Linked DNA regions of Callithrix jacchus. The protein of the gene in region 1 interacts with the protein of each later gene in a biochemical or structural test. Links are inferred from orthologs where the notes say so. Each region holds a gene or a part of one and is shown on either strand. Other genes may lie near its edges.

What was found. The genes of interacting proteins can lie anywhere in the genome.
Region 2: the proteins of RAF1 (region 1) and BAG1 form a complex in vitro, tested with the Homo sapiens proteins (2 studies listed by BioGRID). The link is inferred for Callithrix jacchus from reciprocal best matches to the Homo sapiens genes RAF1 and BAG1.

The regions. Positions count from the first base shown.
Region 1 is NC_133516.1:69,764,159-69,767,812, forward strand, and holds part of RAF1 (RAF proto-oncogene serine/threonine-protein kinase), read right to left. Parts: intron 2,587-3,654; coding exon 2,484-2,586; intron 2,160-2,483; coding exon 2,002-2,159; intron 13-2,001; coding exon 1-12. UniProt on the Homo sapiens protein: Serine/threonine-protein kinase that acts as a regulatory link between the membrane-associated Ras GTPases and the MAPK/ERK cascade, and this critical regulatory link functions as a switch determining cell fate decisions including proliferation, differentiation, apoptosis, survival and oncogenic transformation.
Region 2 is NC_133502.1:140,446,410-140,450,063, forward strand, and holds part of BAG1 (BAG family molecular chaperone regulator 1), read right to left. Parts: intron 1,713-3,654; coding exon 1,605-1,712; intron 760-1,604; coding exon 697-759; intron 144-696; coding exon 54-143; 3' UTR 1-53. UniProt on the Homo sapiens protein: Co-chaperone for HSP70 and HSC70 chaperone proteins. Acts as a nucleotide-exchange factor (NEF) promoting the release of ADP from the HSP70 and HSC70 proteins thereby triggering client/substrate protein release.

The DNA.
Region 1 (3,654 bases):
TTTGGAAACAATCTAAATGAAAGCAGGGAAAGACTGGTTTTTAGAGCTGTAGTAATCTTACAGAGATAATCAGCATGCCTTGCTTTTGCAAACTCACAGCTATTCAAACTGAACTTTGCCCAGTCACATTTTCCTCAACTGTTTTACGTTACCTACAGTAAAAGGAACAACATTCCAAATAACTGGGTTTGAATGATTATTAAATGTGAATAATACTGACCTGCCAATAAACATACAGTCTCCAGCGTGCATTTCTTTTTTTTTTTTGAGACGGAGTCTTGCTCCGTTGCCCAGGTTGGAGTGTAGTGGTGCATACTCGGCTCACTGCAACCTCTGCCTCCCAGGTTCTCCTGCTTCAGCCTCCCAAGTACCTGGGATTACAGGTGTACACCACCACATCCAGCTAATTTTTGTATTTTTAGTAGAGACAGGGTTTCACTATGTTGGCCAAGCTGGTCTTGAACTCCTGACCTCAGCTGATCCACCCACCTCAGCCTCCCTAAGTGCTGGGATTACAGGCGTTAGCCACCATGCCCACCCCAGTGTGCATTTCTAGGACTGTGCATTTTTAGGAAATATTGGTCCTATGTCTAGCAGGATCAAAATAATGTTTTTTCAGACTACACAGCATTTTACAAACTATGTCACATAGTGCTTTTCCAGAAACATTTCAACTTGGAAATACATAGATAAAAACAGTAAAACAGGAGGAATAAATCATAGAAAAGTGAGTAATTAGGCACCTTCTTTCCATGAGCTGGGCACTTGTGCTTAGTAAATTTCACAGGTTATGTCAGCAAGCCTCACAAAAACAATGCAAGGAAGGTAATATCCCCTTTATTCAGACACGTGAATGAAAACTCAGATGTGATTATGGTTAATGAGAACACTGAGATTTTGGTACATGTCTGTTGGACTCAAAAGCTTGTGCTGCTGGGTGCAGTGGCTCATGCCTGTACCTGCAACACTTTGGAAGGCTAAGGTGGACAGATTGCTTGAGCTCAGGAGTTGGAGACCAACCCAGGCAACACGATGAAACCCCGTCTCTACAAAAAATACAAAAGTTAGCTAGGCATGGTGAAATACACCTGTAGTCTCAGCTACTAAGGAGACTGAGGTGAGGATTACTTGAACCCAAGAGGTTGAGGCTATAGTGAGCTATGATCATGCCACTGCCCTCCAGCCTGGGCAAGAGGGTGAGACCCTGTTTTTTTTTTTGAAGGACAAAAATAAGACAAATAAAAAAAGGTTGTGCCTGCCATTTGTGCTACTCAAGCTCTCATTACAAAATCAATATGTGAGTAACCACGAAAGCAAAAAAGATGTTTCCATTATGGTCTAATAACACTCTCTTGGTTTCTCTAGTACTGTCGAAAAGGACAAAACTTTAAACTTTTCATATTCCTGGTGACAGTTTTTAAAAGGCAGTTTGGACCATGTACTTTAAATTTTTTAATAAAATAATATTTTGTCTATATGAAATATATTGTGTCCTGACAGAAACAAGAATCTTTCAAGATTTTATGTTCAAACAATTTTAAGTCCAAACAACTAAGTTTTCTCCAGTTTGGAGTTAAGAAAATAGCATCAACTGCGCTTTCTGCTCCTTCTCAATGTTAAAGGCTTGTTCAGCATAAGCAACAAAATACAGAGCAGTGTCTACTAGCAACCCAGCAGATGATACTATTAAGAGAGAAAACCAAAAAATCTTCTCATTTTCATATCCTTTTGTTCTTTTCCTTACTGAATCACAGTCACAATATGGCAATCTCAATTTAACAGACAACAAGTCCTATTCCTACCTGCTCATTTTGGAGTATTAATGCCACCAAACCTAGCTAGTTTCAGAAGTATCTGTTTCTAAAGTAGATAGTTTCTGGATCACAATTCTGTAAATGAATCTAGAATCCAGACCTGTCAGTCAAAATCTACAATGAATATCCTTTAAAGTATTTATACTCCTTATCCCTATATTCCTTGAGAAAATGAACAATGCCTTACAAGAGTTGTCTGATATTACTCCAGTCCACACACATAGTAGGTACTTTGGTGCTACAGTGCTCATGAAATTTGTAGCCACAAGTCTGACATCGAAATCCATTGAGCAGGAATTTCTGACAGATGTCACAGAAGGCAAGCTTCAGGAACGTCTTCCGAGCCTACAAGAACACAGGTGTAAATTATGCTGAATAAAAGATGACAAAAGACAAAGTCATTTTCTTCCTTGGCCTCCAAAAGAGTTTTTACAAAAATCAATCATACTTCCAACATTTACAGAATTCATAATCATAAATTAAAGTGTATCTCTGACTAAGGCAATGAAATCTAAATTGCCTTACTGTAAACAATGGCATAAAGAGCCTCAAACAATCCAAATACACACACACACACACACACACACACACATATGCCTATTACCTGAGAAATTTCTGTTAGGCCTGGCAAAGCCCTCAACATGCTAGAAAGAGAGATGTGCAACTTACAAAGTTGTGTGTTGTGAGGGGAACATGATCCAGGAAATCTACTTGAAGTTCTTCTCCAATCAAAGAGGCAGCATCAGTATTCCAATCTAAGCGTGCTTTTTTACTAAAAAGGATTAAAAAAAAAAAAACATGAAAGGGAAATGTTTAAACAAGGTAGGAGTTCAATACAAATAACAGCTACCATTTATCACATGCTATAAACAACTCTATATAGCTTTATATAGCCATAAAACAATAATCTATTTAATTCATTGAACAAACCTATAAAATAAGTATTATCATTCCTATCTGAAAAAATAGGAAAACTGGGACTCTAAGAAGGTAACTTGCTGAAGGCCACACAGCAAGTATAAAGGCCTATGTTGGACCACATCTGTTGAACTCCAAAGCCCATGTTCTTAGAATGAAGTTTTCTCTTTATTTATTTAAAACATTTTTTTTTGGTAGAGATAGAGCCTTGCTGTGTTGCCCAGGCTGGTCTTGAATTCTTGGCCTCAAGTGGTTCTCCTGCATCAGCCTCCCAAAGTGCTGGGATTACAGGTGTGAACCACCATATCTGGCCATGATAAAGTTTTATTTAAACAATGATATATAACAATCTCACGATAAAGTCAATATATATTAAATTGAAATTTGTAACATTAAAATCTTACAAAAATCCCCAAATCCTGTCAAATGGATTATAAATATTGCTGCAGTACAAAATTTAGTCTTCAATAGTCTATTTCAATCTAGATAAACAGAAAGGAACCACAAATGAAATGTACTTTTCTATTAATAAAAGACTCTGATCTGTAGTTGTAGGGTCTGCAAGATAATGACAGACTTAAGTGTCTTAAAATCTACTCTGAAACCACACCTTCTGTGCCTACAGTATAAATAAGACAAAAAATATATACATATAAAAATTAACGCCCAATTCCATTCTCATGTCTTATCCAGTTAATCTGGCCCGTTTTCCAAAGGAAGAATATTCTCAGGTAAAGAAAGAATAACATGTATAGCACTATTCAAGCCTCTCCATCATCTACCAGAAGACTAGTCAAGCCATTTTTCTCCCTATCCAACAGTAACTAATACACTCCTTAATATAATTACCTACACAGCATATGGGAAACTCCCTATAACTCCAAAGGACTATTTTGCCCTTGTGAATACAGGGAAGAGAAGC
Region 2 (3,654 bases), on another chromosome or scaffold:
GCAGAGCTGGTGGTGCCATTCTTCAGGACAACACAGCCTCTTTCTGCCATACCTCACTCAGCCAGGGCAAAGTTTGTAGACTGTAGCCGTTCGGTCTCCTGGCAGATGTTCTGTTCCACTGTGTCACACTCGGCTAGGAATGCCTAGAAAATACACATGGGGCAGTGAGGGCCCATCCTGGGATAGCCAACCACTGCCCACACAAGGCTCTTTGCCTAGACATTCTGGGGAACCCATGACTGAGACCCAAAACAGACTGTGCATGAATGGAGATGGGCAACTAGCCTGGGCTCCAAGGTAAGGGGAGGGAGGAAGCATAGGACCAGGGTCTCTGACCACGCTCTAGGCCAGCAATCCCCTAAAAGGTGGGAAAGGCCACAAAAGCTTTGCCGCGAGGCCACTGAACAATTGCAGGGGGCACTGTATGCATGAATACTGCCTCCTGGAATTGTGTAACGTGTCAACTCTGTCTGCTCTCCAGTGAGTTCCCTCCCTAAATAGTTTAAATTCAAATATAATTATAGGGATATAGGGGGCTCTTCTCTGATGTTTGGGGTCCTTGCTGATAAATGAACAATAACCAAAACAAGCACATACCACACACCATCCTTCTATATTACTCGACTTTGAACAGATAAACACACATACCAACATATTAACATATTACACTTTGTCATGCACTATGACACAACTCACCTGAACCTTTTTTACCAAGCCTTTCCTTTTCAATCTACTGTCTTTGAAATTTTCTGGCAGGATCTATGGAAGAGTAAGTTGACACATAAATAATCCTCAGTGAAAATGACATGAGAACACATAAGAAACACCCACAGTACATAAAACGGGTCACAGGTCACCAATGTAAATAAACGTGCATTTTCAAGAACGCCTTCCCTGGGTCTGTATCCCATATGGCCCTTCCATGGCTCTTGTCCCTATAAAAGCTCCCTCTGTTCTCAACGTCTGGGCCATAGGAACAGATCTGTAACACAGACTTTGTTCTTTTATTGTTTCCTATGTATGGATACTCTGCCCTGGCCAGACTGTGGGCTCACTGTGACAGGAAAAGTGCCTGCTGCTGCTGCTTTACAACTCTGGCCAACAGAAGCACACAGCACAGGTCACCGTCAAGAATGAAACATCAGGCTAATATCATACTACTATCTGCAAAAGAGAACCTGAGTTAATGGTTTTCAACAGCCTGATAAGATCTGGGTCTGGCTGAATCCTCTATAAGTAAGTAGCCCTGCAGAATGATCAGTCACATGAGGAGCAGAGAAAGTGAAGTCCTCTGTTTCCTTGACCACGAGATTGTGGACTACTTGGGTCCCAGCTTCATGTTGATTAGAGATGCTACTGACAAACATAAGTATAAATGATAAAAGTCCTATGCTGGAGGGCTGTGAGTGCCTAGAAAGCAGGAACTGTCTTATTATTGTGCACTCACCCAGGACCTAGCAATGTGATGGCACACAATAGTATATGCTTAATATTCTCAAGTGATGGGTTTGCTCAGGCAATAGGAGAGTACATTATTGAAAGAGTGAAAGTGACTGAAAGAAAGTCAAAGAAAACTAGTTCTTCTCAGCTGAATATTTACTTACCAGTGTGTCAATCTCCTCCAAGATCTTCATAAATTGCTCTATTGTGGCTTTTACTTTCCTATCAAGTTTGCAGAGAGCTTCAGCTTGCAAATCCTTGGGCAGAAAACCCTGTGGGGGAATAATGCATTATTGCAAGGGTTCTTTGAGGCTGATAGAAAATTCCACGCTGCGATACTAATGAAGCGACCACACTGAGTCCAACACAGCCCTGGCAGGCCAGGTAACATGTCAGATCCACAACTTCATCTCTTGGAAAAATTATAAAGGCTGGCCTTGGGCCAGTCTAAGAATTCTATTGGGTTGTAGTCTGCTCTACCTCACATGACGCACTGTGGCTGCAAATGCCTCCTGAGGCTTGGCTCCAGTGAAGCCCCTAGTCACAAGTGTATACCAGCACACAAGAGGCAGATGTTAAAAGCACAGGCTTAGAGTCTTCAAAGCCTAGGTATGAATCCCGACTGCCACTGACTAACAAGTATTCTTGAACAAATTACTTAAGACTATTCATGCCTCAGTACTCTCATTTAAAAAAAGAAGATTATAATACCCACACCCTAGAGGGTTACTGCGAGGCAAAGGGAATATATGTATATGTGTAATTAACTTGTGGCACAGACACATGCTAACGAATGGCAGCAGTGCTTACTTTTATTAAATTGTCTAATGGTTCATTCATACAGCTTGGCCTAATGACCAGTTACCTGCTGGATAGCAGGGATCTCTGAGGATGTTTATCACGGCCAAGAGCTACAGATATAGATTTCATAACATGTAACAAGAGCTTTAAACATCACCCAGCAATTTCAACTCAAAGAATTTATTCTACCAAAAAATCAAGAACAGTCAAAAAAGATTTATGTCTAAGGATATTCAAAGAAGCATTACACAAAATACTAAAAATAATATTACATAATGAATAATACAGAATTGGCAAGGTAAATGAAACATTTATATAAGATGAAATGCAAGCTTTGAAAAGTACCATCACAGGAAAATGTTTAATTTTTTTTTCTTTTAGTAGTAGATGAGAAAATGTTTAATTTTTTATCCAATAAAAGAATAATTTACAAAGCATACATAACATAGCAAAAAAAATTTTTTTTTGTTTTTTTTCTTCCCATCCTCCTTCTGGCCCAAAATTTTTTTTTTGAGAGGAAGTCTCTCTCTGTCACCTAGGCAGGAGTGCAGTGGCACAATCTCGGCTCACTGCAACCTCCACCTCCCAGGTTCAAGTGATTCTTCTGCCTCGGTCTCCCAAATAGCTGGGATCACAGGCGCCTGCCACCATACTCAGCTAATTTTTGTATTTTTAGTAGAGATGGGGTTTCGCCATGTTGGCCAGGCTGATCTTGAACTCCTGACCTTCGGTGATCCACAAGCCTTGGCCTCCCTAAGCGCTGGGATTATAGGTGTGAGCTATTGCGCCCGGCCTATACCAAATATTTTTTTAAGATGAAAAATACATTTCAGGCTTTGGTAATGTCATCTCTGAGTTAGGGCCTCGTGGGTAATTTTTATTTTCCATATTAGTGCCTACACATGTACTTAAAACTTTTGTACAGTCAGCATGTATTCTGTAGTTAAAACACAAACATATAGGCCAGGAGTGGTGGCTCACTCCTATAATCCCAGCATTTTGGGAGGCTGAGGCAGGCAGATCACTTGAGCTCAGGAGTTTGAGACCAGCCTGGCCAACATGGTAAAACCCCATCTCTATTAAAAATACAAAATAATTAGATGGGTGTGGTGGCAGGCAGAGCCGAGGCTGAGGCAGGAGAATTACTTGAACCCGGGAGGTAGAGGTTGCCAGTGAGCTGCTGAGATCACGCCACTGTACTCCAGCCTGGGTGACAGAGTGAGACTCTGTCTCTAAATAATAAATAAATAAATGCCAAAACACAAACACACACCAATTAATGTTACAAAATGAGAGAAAAAAAGAAATATGTGGTCTTGAGCTAGTCCTAATCTGTGCTGGGTTTTAGTACCCCATCTCTAATATAAAGAATTGAATAGGATGACTCTCCCAACCCCACTATCATGTTCAACT